Linked DNA regions of Mytilus edulis. The protein of the gene in region 2 purifies or fractionates together with the protein of the main gene of each other region. This does not show direct contact. Links are inferred from orthologs where the notes say so. Each region holds a gene or a part of one and is shown on either strand. Other genes may lie near its edges. The genes, in order: perilipin-2-like and E3 ubiquitin-protein ligase MARCHF6-like.

What was found.
Region 1: the proteins of E3 ubiquitin-protein ligase MARCHF6-like (region 2) and perilipin-2-like purify together in Homo sapiens (affinity purification with western blotting; 3 studies listed by BioGRID). This does not show direct contact. The link is inferred for Mytilus edulis from reciprocal best matches to the Homo sapiens genes MARCHF6 and PLIN2.

Annotation. Positions count from the first base shown.
Region 1 is NC_092347.1:24,719,506-24,727,155, forward strand, and holds the start of perilipin-2-like, read right to left. Parts: upstream 3,218-7,650; 5' UTR 2,985-3,217; exon of another isoform or gene 2,753-2,984; intron 2,567-2,752; 5' UTR 2,560-2,566; coding exon 2,316-2,559; intron 1,332-2,315; coding exon 1,246-1,331; intron 1-1,245. UniProt on the Homo sapiens protein: Structural component of lipid droplets, which is required for the formation and maintenance of lipid storage droplets.
Region 2 is NC_092348.1:8,292,947-8,300,698, forward strand, and holds the start of E3 ubiquitin-protein ligase MARCHF6-like, read right to left. Parts: upstream 3,129-7,752; 5' UTR 3,040-3,128; coding exon 3,006-3,039; intron 1-3,005. Other genes in the region: WD repeat-containing protein 88-like, read left to right, coding at 3,298-3,390, 4,594-4,793, 5,155-5,218, 5,594-5,732, 6,189-6,315, 6,885-6,998, 7,616-7,686. UniProt on the Homo sapiens protein: Endoplasmic reticulum membrane-associated E3 ubiquitin ligase that plays a critical role in mitigating endoplasmic reticulum stress, the regulation of cholesterol and lipid homeostasis, and ferroptosis.

The DNA.
Region 1 (7,650 bases), on a different chromosome or scaffold from region 2:
AGTGTTAACCATCCTTCTGACCATAGATCAACATGTAGATTGTAATATTTTTCCCATTTAAGCAGTAATGTTTTTTTTACAGTATTACATATTCTAGTGTCAATGTTATCAGTTAACAGGTCAGACATTGTCTACTTGTCAGTTTTTAAACAAAGTAGGTCAAGGGAGTTCTATTTTTAAAACCTTATCTGGCCTTCAACTGATATACATTTTAGAAAACATAATGTTTTAAATGCATAACCTTCAATTGATATAAATTGAGATGACATGTTTGTACTTTGAACCAGTCTTGATTGATATCAGATGTGAGATGAATCACAAATCATATATGCATGTATAGACATTGTTAACTTCCATAAAATGTACTAATATCTTAAAGAGTACGCAAATGTACCAACTGAATTACTTAAACTGGCAACTTAATCTATTAATGTAAAATGGTTTATTTACTGGTACAATTTAAGATACAATACACTCACAAAACAAAGACCCATTGGTTGCCTTCGGCTGTTGTTTGCTCTATGGTCGGGTGGTTGTCGCTTTGACATATTCACCATTTCCTTTCTCAATTTTATAACAAATCTTTTATACACAGTGATTTGAAGTTTACTTCTGAAGCCAAGAGCTATTCATTCAGTGGTTATTTTTGGTGGATGTGTGTCACATTTGATTTTTTTTTTAATATTACATCAGCCCATAGGTGTTCTTGTTTAATATTACATAAGCCCATATGTGTTCTTGTTTAATATTACACCAGCCCATAGGTGTTCTTGTTTTAATATTACATCAGCCCGTAGGTGTTCTTGTTTTAATATTACATCAGCCCATGTGTGTTCTTGTTTAATATTACATCAGCCCATAGGTGTTCTTGTTTAATATTACATCAGCCCATAGGTGTTCTTGTTTAATATTACATCAGCCCATAGGTGTTCTTGTTTAATATTACATCAGCCCATAGGTGTTCTTGTTTGAATTATTTTACAGAATATCAAGTCGGGACTTTTCATACATGTAATTGTTTACATGTAGCTTACAGTACTATACATATACATATGTACAGTATGGGTTTTGACCATTGTTGAAGTCTTTTTGGGACCTAGTATAGTTTTTAACATCCAAATCATTTGATCTCTGGTGAATACATGTAAAATGTATCTTTTGAAATCATACCAAATAATTATTTCCTTTTTTTTTCAAAGTAAGTTAAATTTGTTATCCAATAAAAAAAGATGTTGCCTTTCTTACCTCTTCAGTAGGTTTGTTGATAACAGGGTATTTCTCTTCCAATTGGTTTAATTTCTCACAAGCATAACTGTTAGCTTTTTCTACAACTGTAAAATAGAAATTGTTAATTGACATTTCAATCTTGAAGAGGCTTTAATATAATAAAAAAATACATTTATAGCCCAGAATAGAGATGTATAATAACTATAGTTTATAGAGATAAACTGACAGGAATTTCTACAAAGACCATGCTTGAATGATTCACCTACATGTATAAACTATTCATTTTTTTACATAAATAAGGCCGTTAGTTTTCTCGTTTGAATTGTTTTACATTGTCTTATCAGGGCCTATTATAGCTGACTATTCGGTATGGGCTTTGCTCATTGTTGAAGGCCGTACGGTGACCTACAGTTGTTAATGTCTATGTCATTTTGGTCTTTTGTGGATAGTTCTCTCATTGGCAGTCATACCACATCTTCTTTTTTATACTCTGTATTATATCCTAAATTTAAAAGCTAGTTTTTTTTCTATTCAAGTTGCAATTTTTAATCAAATTGTATATCCTAAACTCATAATGACACAGATTAACAATGATTAATGGGATATTTTTTTTTTCATACATCTAACATGTCTAATTGTTGAAATATGCATGTTTGTATTATACACTATACAATTGTATGTATAATGTCTACTACAATCATCAATGTATCAGAACTATAATTGGACAGAATACTAAATTAACATCATGTGCCAAGACTTAAACCTTACTTTAATTACATGTTCAGTGAATTATCATACATTGCTGCTATTTTGTCGAGTGTATTTTCTGTAGTATGTCATTTTATTTTATTATTTTTATAACACTTGTTACATATCTTTTATTGTCTGTGTATTGCATATGTTATTGATTATAATATTGTCTGTATGCTATATATGCTCTCCTGGGGCCCTTATTTGGTAAATATATTCTATACATCAGATGATCTATTACTGGGCTGCTTTGATTTTTGCATTCAAATATTATTGTTTTTCTTGTCATTATCCTCCTTCCCCATCATCCAGGCTAACTATTGACCTTCAGAACTTACTTTGTGGTTGGTATCGTTCTACCAATGGTTTACCAAACACTACTGATGTATCCACCACAGTTTTAACACCAGCCTCTGCCATGTTTAGAGAGGACTTCAGTAATTCATGGGATCCTTTAGTTCTCTGGTAGAGATTGTAGGCCTGCGTCCAGGCTGAACTGACCACTGGGATCTTTCCCAGTTGATTTATAAATTGTTGATCTTCCATTATCCTTCGTTGTTCCTCCATGTGTTGTCTGTACATACGATCTCTGTAATAAACATTAAATATTTGAGGATATATTTATTTTTAATTGAGCTCAAAATTCACAAAATAAAACTATTAATCTATAAATTATAAGACCACTTTGAAAATCTAAATTTTTCTTTTGTGTCAAGATCAATGTTTTTATTATTTCATAAACTACAGAAACAAAACAAGTGCCTGTGTCTCGTACATAATTTCTCTCTGTCAAGTCCTCATCCCTGACTCTGTGCAACAAGTATTAACATTTTTAACACACCGTCACGCTATGACATAATATGTATGTCCAGACATCATGACATGAGACAATGAAACCGTAAAACCCTTTTTCTGGTAGATGATACATTTTTTAAATGAACAATATTCTGTTCATTATGATATAGAACTATTTAAACATGTTTTTTGTTGAAAAGAGTAGAACTTACCACGATATCTGTTTTAATTTGACAAAGAAACACCGCTCTGCGGATTTATAAGCTGACTGATAAGCTAAAAACACGTCTGAGATCAAAGTCCGAAATTCCTTATGTGACGTCACGGAAACTACCCTAATGAAACTGAGGGTCGACAAGGTTTTTATTTTAAATTAAACAAATATTCTGCGTCATTTTGGATTTGCTACAATATCAAAGATTGACTTAATCAATGAATATACAAGTACTTTAGTTTACGGTTTAATTAAAATCAATACGATAAACATATACAAATACATTAAAATTACCCTCAAACTACCCCGAGAGGGAAATCCTTCACTCAGCTGACAATGACGTGTCTTATCATTGTTGACCTTGACCCCTGAAAATGACATTATAGACCAAAAAACATGATCACTTCGTGCTGCAACTACGTAGCTTATTTTCGGAAAATAAAATATTTGTATCAGTTATATTTTTTATTTGCGAACTGTAATCAAAATCAAGGCTTACAAAGCAATACACTGAAATAATTTCATAATTAAATGAAATTTTAAATGTCCGAAGCTAGATCTTCGAATATAAGGGGGGGGGGGGGGGGGGGGGGGGGCTATTTTAAAGAAATTTAAATCACGGCATCCCGAAATTCGAAACAAGAATTCCCGGATCACGAAAGGATCAATCCCGAAATCCCGAGCTTTAATTAAAACATCCTATCCCGACGTCGCGAAAAAGGTCCTGCCCCACCCCCACCCCAAATATAGGCCGCAGAGATTTTTCACGTCTCTGGTTTCAAGTCATGTATAATTCATACAGTTTTAAACCTACATCATAGATGTCATATATATTTCTTCATTATCCTGCATTTTGCTCAGTAATTTAAAATACTCCTTCATTCTCAGTGTTATATAGCCTTAATTTTATTCCCTTTATTACAATTGAATGTGTGAATTGCACACAAGGGAATTTTGGTACACTACTAACTAAGTTTATAAAAAGAAATATAAAAAAAGGAATCAAAATCAAGTCAAGGACAAAAACAACTGATTTAACTTGACGGCCATTTAATTCTAATTCTTTAATTGGCACCTTATAAAAAGGTTTATCTTTTTGCATATATTCTTTATCATATTGTTTATAAAATATTTATATACTTGGAAAGTATTTAAATAATTCTTTTTCATTTTGTTTTTAAATTTCTTTGATATTTAAAATAAATACAAGAATAGAAGGGACTATGTCACCAAGAACAGTCACATCATTAAAAATGTGCTTTCTTAATTTAGGGGGCCTTATGAACAAGGAGGGTAACAAAACGGATGATCCCCTTTTCTTAAACAAAATTGATAAATATGATTTGGCTTTTTTTGCTGAAACACACATTGGATATGAGTCCAACATTCATAGAATAGGTCCTTTTAATTGTTATAATGTATGTAGACCTAAAACTAGGGCAAACAACAGATTTTTTGGTGGGTTGGCAGTATTAGTTAAAAAAAATATCAAACCTTATGTAAAAATTCTCAAAAACACTTGTACTGACATTATGTGGATAAAGTTAGAAAAGGATTTTTTTGGTTTTCAAAAAGACTTATATATGTGTGTAGTGTATAACCCACCCTCAATGTCATCATATACTCAGGGACTCGACCGGGACATTACTGAATGTTTAGAACAGGAAACTGCAAAATATATGAAAATGGGTAATGTTTTACTGTGTGGTGATTTTAATGCAAGAATTGCCAATTCCCCTGATTAAATTTTAAATGATGATCAATCTTATTTACCTCTTTTTGATAATTATCCAATTGATAAGCAAATCTTGAAAAGACAAAGCAGTGATACAACAATTGATTCAAGGGGAAAGAGTCTATTAGATCTCTGTATTCTAAACCAGTTAAGGATACTAAATGGTCGAGTCCTAGGGGATGTTTTTGGAAAGTACACATGTTATACGCCAAACGGCAGTAGTGTGGTTGACTATGTGATGGTGTCGGAGAGTATTCTGGATCAAATTTTATATTTTTATGTTCACAACTTTATGCCTACTATTTCAGATCGTCATTGTATACTGGAATGGGAAATGTCAAGTAAATTTACTGTTGATGATAATGATTGTAATATTAATATGTTTGATAAATCTCCAAATTTCATATGGTCAGATGAATCACCTACAAACTTTCAAACAGCTCTATTATTACCAGATATACAAACACAAATTGATACATTTAATAAAAGTATAATCAAAGAGTCTCAATCCTCTGTCGATGAGGCTGCAGCAGAATTATCACATATTTTCCTGTCTGCTGCTACTAATTCTTTAAAAAGAAATAAACTAAGAAATAAGAAAATAAAGACAAAAAAATGGTTTGATGGAGATTTGTACCATCTTCGAAACAAATTAATAAGTTACGGTAAAATATATTCAAAATTTCCTTATGACCCATTAGTGAGAGGTCACTATTATAAGCTTAATAAGCAATATTCTAAACTTAGAAAATTTAAGTATAAAGAATATAAAAAATCACTTGTTGAGCAGTTACAGAATCTACATGATGATAATCCTAAATCTTATTGGAAGTTAATTAATGATTTAAAAAATAATGATAATAAGGACCATAGTTCTGCTGTAGCACCATCTGTGTGGGTTTCACATTTCAATGGATTATATCAATTACATGAGTCATTCAAAGAAAGAGTGGCTAAGTTGGAAAAAAAGCTAGATAATCTTGAAAAAAATGTTTGTTTTAATAATCTTGATAAACTTATAACAGAGAAAGAAATTTCTTTTGCCATTTCTAAACTACGTTGTAACAAATCACCAGGCTTGGATAACATTTCAAACAATATGATTAAACACAGTCAAAATGTTTTACTATCGTCTCTTTCAAAAATATTTAATTCTTGTCTGTCTCATGGTTTATACCCAAGAAATTGGACCGAAGGTTATATTACAGTATTACATAAGTCAGGTGAAGTCACTGACCCAAATAATTATAGAGGACTAACAATCACTAATGCAATTGGTAAGCTTTTTAACAGTATACTTAATATAAGGTTGGATAGTTTTTTAGAAGAAAATAATGTAATTAATGATTGCCAAATAGGTTTCACAAGAAAGGCAAGAACATCTGACCATATGTTTGTTTTAAAATGTATTTTTGATAAATACTGTAATACTAAGGATGGGAGAGTGTTTGCTTGCTTTGTTGATTTTCATAAAGCTTTTGATAAAGTAATACATACAGGAATTAGAATTAAGCTGTTAGAGATTGGGGTTAGTTCAAGGTTTTATAGCGTTATAAAGAATATGTATCTTGAAACTAGATCTTGTATAAAAATACATGATAAAATAACTGAATTCTTTCAAACAAAGCTTGGTGTTAAACAAGGAGATAACTTGAGTCCTAACTTGTTTAAAATCTTTATAAATAGCCTTCCAGACTATTTTACACGAACCAGAGATCCAATTATGCTGGATGGCAAACTCATTCATTGCCTTATGTATGCTGATGACATTGTAATTTTATCTAACTCAGCTGAAGGACTACAAGAGAAATTAAATGAACTTCATAATTTTTGCAATGACTGGTGCTTAGATATAAATACTAAAAAAACTAAAGTGTTGATATTCAACAAGGCAGGCAGACATATCTCTCAAAAATTTATTTTCAACAAAGATGAGCTGGAGTGTGTATCTAATTATAAATATTTGGGTATCCAATTTAATGCATCATGTTCTTTTTCATATGCTCAGAATGATTTATACCAAAGAGCCTTAAAAGCATACTTCAAACTATGTAATGATTTTTTAGTGCATAATCCTACTGTTAAAAATGCAATTCATGTTTTTGACCATACAATAAAGCCTATACTTTTATATGGGTGTGAAATTTGGGGATATTTCAATCCCTTTACTGCACGTTTAAAAAAAGAAAACATAACAGTGGATACAATTTACTCAAGGATACTTTGTGAAAAACTTCATATTAAATTCTGCAAATATATTTTAGGCGTTAATAGGAAGAGTACAAACTTTGCAGTTTTGTCTGAATTAGGCCGTTTTCCACTTCACTATGATATAGTTAAACATGTTTTAGGATATTGGCATCGTTTAGAAAATATTGGCTCATCATTTCCCTTGTTAAAAGCTGCATATAATTGTTCTAAAAAGCTATTTGAAACAAAAAAAACCTCTTGGTATGGATCAATTAATATTTTAAGGGAAAAAATGTCAGGCATAGAAAAACATATTCTTGAAAAATACTCAACATTTAAACTACACTGTGGTCAGATAGTTAAGGGATACTATACTGCATTGTGGAAAAAACAGCTAGACATACATAAAGATGGTAAACTACGAACTTATGTAACATTCAAGTGCAACTATGGTTTTGAAAATTATTTGTCAATAATTCGACATTTTGAGCAAAGGAAATGTATTACTAGATTAAGAATATCTGCTCACAAATTGCAAATTGAATCTGGTAGATACCAGGGTACTCTTCGACAAAACCGAATTTGTCTCAGGTGCACCTCAGGTGAGGTTGAGGATGAAGTTCATTTTTTTATTTAAATGTGACACTCATTTATTAAAAAGAGAGGAAATGATGCAAAATATATTAAAATCATGTCCAAACTTTCAAAATTTAAATATTGATAACAAATTAATTTGGAT
Region 2 (7,752 bases):
TTCTTTATTTTGCACAATATAATTCAAAAGGCATAAATAAACACCATTACTAGTGTTACATAGTATGCTTCATGTTAATATTTAAAATCTATTTTCAATGTTATATTAAAGTTTTTTTAAACCTGACAGGAAACCATAAGAAACCGAAAGCAGTTTTTTAGTTTTATTTTATTGCAAAATCTGCTTAAAATAATCTGAACAGTATACTTTTTCTTAAAATCCATCTTAAATGTAACAGTATTATAAGACTCCTTAATATGTGCTTGTTTTGAAAACAATTAGTACAATTTATTCAGAATTTTCCATATTTTCTTCATTGATACAGGATACCATAATCGTTGTATCTTGATGTTTAAGCCAAAAAAATGTATTTAATATTTGGTTTTGATATTCCAGTTATATACAATTTATTCCAAATCATTGGCAATGTAACATTCTTTAAATCCAGTAAAGAAAAAAACTTTTAACTTGGAATTAAAATCTTTAAAATAGGCACAATGTGATACTTGTGACCTGTACACCATCTACATGGTTTCCACATTTTAACCTACTTTAGTGGGCTAAAATCAATTAAGTACTTCCTTTCAAGTAATGCATGGTAAAAGTTTACTTCTCCTTTGACAAGTTTATTGCGTTTCTGATAAGTGTTTGCAGAACATGAATAAAAAATATTAATTAAAAACTGTGACAAAGATTCCAACTTTGTACATTCCAAGTGTAACGGTATATTAACATGTATTTTTTTATTAAATTATATTTATTCACCTAAAATATCCAGTAATATTTACTGCTGAAGTTGAATCAATCCAACGAGCATTGGTACAATGATAAGAGACGTAATTTAGATTGATTTTTCCAAGGACTCTTCACGTCATTATCGGGAAACGAAGTGTGTTCTAACGTCTGTCAAATATGAAATCGATTTTGTCAAGTCATTGGGCATTTATTTTCACACAGGATCATATGTAACATTATGCACATAGGAAAAATAACAGACCACCAGCGCAATCTCTTTGACAATTGTATTTTCCTCTTTTAAACAAGACGAAACAAGTCTACAGATTATGTTTGCTAACATCCCGTTGGAAACAAAAACAATGTTTAGACCTAGTATTTCGTACATCCGGCCGTAATGACGTTATCACATGTTAGTCACATGTTTCATGTATGACCGGAAATGATTAGAACTTAAGGACAAAAACAATTTTAATAAATAACTGGTCTTCTGTTTCGTGTGAAATGTAACGCATAACGATAACGTAATTTTCTTACTTAATTATTACGAAGATCAAAACAAGAATGTAAATCATCTCGGATTTACCTGTTTGAACATCTCGGAAGAGTCCATATTTGCATATTGTTTTTAAGAATTCTATTACAACAAAGCAGATTACATCATCTAAAAATTGCGTTACGAAATCGGACACAAAAATCACGCCACTCTGCTTACATCTGCTACATAAATACTTATAGTTCTCGGCATTTTCTTCTCACTATTCCTATTGGTCAATGTTCTTTGTTATTTGAAAGCAAAAGTTACGAATTTGCCAGTGACGATTATCTATAAATCAGTCAGCGTTATGCTCTTCGGAAGCAAAAAGTAACGCGAGAAACGACACAAAAATACGGTTGTAGAATCTTTGAAATTCGTATATTTTAATTTTTTTTCTAGGGAAGAGTAGCATACACTTGTATATTGATAAAAATAATGGCATCTTTAGATGTAGTTGCAACTTTTCTTACAGTAATTCACATTTTATCACTTTTCTATAGTTATAGGAAACGGAGCCCAATAGCAAATTATGGTCCATATCCGATGTTACAAAAAAAAGTGTTATAGAATAGAATATTTTTATATGTTATAGAAGCCTTTGATGTAACCTGAAAAAAATACAAATAATTACACCAAACCAGAAGATCAAACTATAAAGACCTTGTTGAAAAACAGATTACGTAACTTTAATTAATCAGCATTGGATTGAATTAAGTGATTACGAGTGGCATTACCTTAGTTCACAATCAGCAGACAACTGTTGAATAAACAAACCAATTATAGACTAATGATTTGATTAAACAAGTCATTATTATGCGATAAATGTTATAGGTCCATTGGACTGTAAATATTTATTTAGCTATTCTGTGTGTTAAAAATCGCCATGAAATTCAAAGTAAAAGTTATCATGGAAAATAACTTCATAATTTAAAAATGTAGAAACTGCGATACAAACAGACACAATAACACTAATTTTCGTATGGATTTAAAATAGTTCGTTAACTGGTACTCCAATACTTCGCTGACCTGTTGTCATCCATCATCGATCGGACACTTTTTTCAAATTCCATTTATACTGTTAAAGTTTGTGACAAATTCCTCCAAAATCTAGTTAATTCATATTTTATTATGGGCCGGATCGACTTGGGGACGGATCGACGTGGGCCGGATCGACTTGGGCCAGATTGACTTGGGGCCGGATCGGTTTGGGGCCCGAACGACTGGATACCTTTCGAAAAATCCCGCTTGAACTTTTGACTTCATTCAACAATCACTTTTCTATTGCGGCGTCAGATATTTTCTATTATGATGTAAAAATTGACTGGAACTTTTGTGATGTCCAGTAATGGCAGACAAATAGCGATAAGGTGTATTATAAATATCACATCTCTTATTTTAACATTATAAATGTTTTCACATCACATTCATGACATAATATTATTATATATTCAAGACCATGGGTTAAAAATGGTATTGCCAACCATATTAATATGTTTTAACTGTTTAATATTTCTTTTAATTACATGTAACATAAGAAACTGTAAATAATCTTTGCTGGATAATTTCTGCACCTTTGTGAGTTGGTCCGACTAAACATAAAATTTAGAAAGAAAGCTGTAGTGTACCAGCAATGCTTCCAAATTTGAATGATATGTGAAGCATATAGCTTGATTTGTGCAAAATATAATTGTTTCTTCTTCTATCATTAAAACATGATCCTTATTTTACCCACCTAAGAGTCCATCTGGATCCAGAGGCTCGTCCATTTTCGATTTGTGAAAGTTCAAGGTCAGATTGTCGTTGTCGTAAACAATAATATTCGTCAAATTACATTTTATTCAGAATTTCAGTTTTATTTTCATGATAGTTTTGTGATAGTTCTTGAAATAAAGCTACAAATACAAATAAATTAAATTAATATATTTTACGTCAATATTTATTCTTCTTTCCGATAGGAAACCAGGGACGCGAAAATTTTCTAAACACACTTATAAAATGTGAAAAAGAAACATTGCATATGGACAATGGATGAAGAAGAATTATCAGTTGAAATAGTACAAGATGAGAGCGAGGCTGGCCGAACCACGGCAACTTGGGAACACGAAGATTTAGCTCAGGTTTAGATATCAAAATTTCATTACAAAATTTGATTTGAACATAATTTGTTTGGGCTAGATTCCAAGTTTGACCCTCTTCCTGACGGAGGGACACATATGTCCATGTTTTAATTTATGCAAGCTTCACGTCAGTGCTGTACCTTTATCAAAATAAAAGAGTGAAAATTAAAAAGTGTTATAAGTTTCTACAATGTCTCTCAAATGTAACGGTCGGCATAATGTCACACATGTACAATGTATATTGAATGATGTCATTTGTTTAGCATGTCCATCACAAACGTTGAACGGTTGTATTTTCTGGCATATGAAATGCAACCCTGAAAAACAACTGGCAGCAAGAGGGTTAACAAAATTGAGAAAGGAAATGGGGAATGTGTCAAAGCGACAACAACCATACCATACAGCAGACAACAGCTGAAGGCCACCAATGGGTCTTCAATGTTGTGAGAAACTCCCGCACCCGGAGGTGTCCTTCAGCTGGCCCCTTAAAAAAATGTATACTAGTTCAGTGATAATGGACGTCATACTAAACTCCAAATTATACACAAGAAACTAAAATTAAAAATCATACAAGCATCTAACAAAGGCCAGCTGGGGCTCCTGACTTGGGACAGGTGCAAAATTGCAGCGGGGCTAAACATGTTTATGAGATCTTAACCCTCCCCCTATACCTTTAGCCAATGTAGAAATTAAAGTAAACGCATAACAATATGCACATTAAAATTGAGAATGGAAATGGGAAATGTGCCAAAGAGACAACAACCCGACCATAGAAAAAAAACAACAGCAGAAGGTCACCAACAGGTCTTCAATGTAGCGAGAAATTCCCACACCCACACCAAGAGGCATCCTTCAGCTGGCCCCTAAACAAATATATACTAGTTCAGTGATAATGAACGCGATATTAGAATGAAAATGGGGAATGTTTTAAAAAAAAGAGACAACAATCTGACCAAAGAGCAGATTACAGTGCAAGGCCAACAATTGTTCTTCAACACAATGAGAAAATCCAGCACCCAGAGGCCAGATTCAGTTAGCCCCAAAGCAAAAATGTGTAATAGTTCAGTGAAATTAGATGTCGCACTAAACTCTGGAAAATATAAATGAACTTAGTAACAAGTAAATGAAAATAACTTATACAAGTATTACCCCTGACTGCCCTCCTTATTTTTATATGTACATGTATGTAATTTTCTTTTTCAGCTAAGAATAAAGGTTTTCCGTGGACATTTAGACTCAGTAAGAAGTTGTAAATACATTGACAATGATCAGAAAATCCTCTCTGCCTCAGATGACAAGACAATCAAGATTTGGGACGTAGAGACAGGAGAAGTTCTCCATAACTATACAAGATGTCATGATAGCATTATATCACAAGCTAATGTCAATGACAATGGAAGGAGGTAACATATGCATATCTATTCATTAATCTGTTACATTATTTATAACAAAAAATAGAAGCATTGAATAATCATGGAGTAAAATTGTAGCATTTTTAAATATCATTCTCAATTTTATGTATTTATTATTATGAGTTTAGTAATATTTCAACAGATATGATGATCTTATCTAAATTTTATAAATGTGATGGAATACCTATCAATCATAATAACCATTGTATGTTGGGATATTGAATGTTACTAAGCATTGTATGTTGGGATATTGAATGTTACTAACCATTGTATGTTGGGATATCATATTGAATGTTACTAACCATTGTATGTTGGGATATTGAATGTAACTAAGGTTATTGATTATTTACAGATTTGTTAGTTGTGGATGGGATAAGAAAGTTGCTGTTTGGGATATTGAATCTGGAAATTGTGTGGTGAGTTAAGGTTATAAAATAAACTGAATTAACTGGATGCTCTGTAAGGCTAAATGTCACCACGATCTGGGTTATAATAGTAAACAAACTGAATCAGCTGGAGGTGCTGTAAGATAAATGTCACTATGATTTAATATATTTTTATTTTGAGTATGAAGAAATGTAGTTAAGTTATTATCTTGTTTGTAAATGTGGACTACTTAAGTATCTCCATCTTATTCCAAAATCTACTAAAGGTCAGTGGTTCTCTCCAGGCACTCTGCCTTCCTGGTCTATCAATACAAAATCTTTTAATCAACCTATTTCTGAAAGATTTCAATTATTGAGTAGGTACTACAAAAGAAGAAAAATATGAAAACGTTATTTTTCTTGCAGTGGTCAGGAAAACATGCTGGTATTGTGACAAGTTGTAATTTTTCACATGATGGGAAATATGTGGTCTCTGGATCAGACTTGGATAACACGGTTAAAATCTGGGACTCTAATACAGGAGATCTCATACATAATGTTGACGGTATGTACAAAAAAGTTTGTAATTAATCCTGTATTAGGATTTTGCAAAATGTATGCTACTCATTGTATCTATTAGGTACCAAATTTTTTACCAGCTATTGTTGTGGAACTACTTTTAGAATTTCACAAACAAACAAACTGGATGTTTTAGTATCTCATCTATTAATTTAATAAAGAAACAATTATTATGAAAGGTTGTTATGCTAATAATTGTTTCAGTTTATTTTACTTTGATCAAGAAATTAACAATATGTAGGCTTTTCAACCATGTTAAATTAGAGTGAAGAATTATTAAATGCAGTGGTAGAATCAGTTCTTTTGACGATTTTGAAACTTTGGTGCTTTTTTTCTGATGATCTAATTTTAAAGTAATTGTCAAAACATAAGATTGGTTTAAGTGAATGGACGTCAATGGTACAAGCTTAATTTGTTCAACCTACATTTGTATTTATTTCAGATATTCACACCAGTACCATTACGAAATGTATGTTTGCTCCTGGAGATGATAAGATTATTACAACCTCCATGGATAAAACTGCCAAATTCTATGATCTAAAGACTTTAAAAGTCACCATTACTGTACAGTAAGTACTGTTTATAGTAAAATGTTGTTATATCATTCACCAGAAATTCAAACAGATAAAATGAACTAAGCATGATGTACTAAGATAAAATTATATAAAAATTAGAAGATGTAATGTGATATTCAATAAGACAACTCTCTACCAAAGACTAAAAATAAAGTAGGTTAATAACTAGAGGTCTGTGACTCACAGTACAGATTTAACAATGAGCAAAACCCTAACCACACAGCAAGCTATAAAATGCCCCAAAGGACAAAATTAAACCACTATTTACAGGCTCCTGACTTGGCACAGGGAAACATTTTCTAAGATCTATTTTGAAATAAGTATTCTGCTGTGACCAAGTAAATGTACTAAATCTTGAGTTTGCATTTTACTGATTCACAGTATTTCTGACACTGTAAGGCTGGATTAGAAATTAGAATGTACTTATCAGAGTAAAATAAAATGATGTTATCAGAACTTTAGCATTTTTGTTTAAGTGAAATGCACTTAGTGTATGATATGATACTGTATGAAATGTTAAAAATAGATAATTAAAGTTTTATTATTTGACACTTTTCTTGCAGAGGACATATCAATATAATATCATGCTGTGATATCAGTCATGATGAGAGAAAGTTTGCTACTGGTTCCTGGGATAAAACTGTTAATATCTGGGATATCGCTACAGGAAGTTACAGGTAACATCTTTTCCCATATATCTGCATTTAAACCTTGATATCAGACTTTCAACATCAAATTTAATGATTTTTAGAAAAGCAGGCAACATCTCAGTGTTTATCCTCTTAGTTTGAAAAATATATATATATACTATGGCCCCCCAAAGAAACCTAAACAACATGTCTGAGATAAAACTTCCTGTTTAGATTTCTTGTGTAACATTTTGAGAAACGTTTAAAAAATTATATAAATACATACTTATCCATTGTTTGTGAGCATAATGTTCTTAAATCACACATCTATATTTCAAAATAATTTATGGGACTGAAAAATTGGTTTGAAGCAAGAGGTGGGCAAATTACTGCTGACAAATATAAAAAAAAATGGAAAATCAACTATTTGAGTAAAAACAATCTTCAAGTTAACTAATAAAGAAGTCACAAACAGCTTAAAAAAGAAAGTTGCTTTGGGTTTTTTTTCACACACAAAAAAAAACGTATTAAAATGTAAATTCTGCATTTATCAACTTACAAATTCTGTTTTTATCAACATTCAGTCATACTTTTCAACTAAACATTTGCTAAATAAGGATAACTCCAAATAAAGGCCTATTTTCACACTGCCTTTTTATTTATAGATCAAAAGGCCCTGGACAATTATGTGGCAGCCATGATGGTTCTGTTAGTTCGTGTTCATTTAGTCCTGATGGTAGGTCACCATTTTCCCTCCAATAAACTCAGGAAAGTGGAGAATATAAGAATTTTTTGTAAAAAA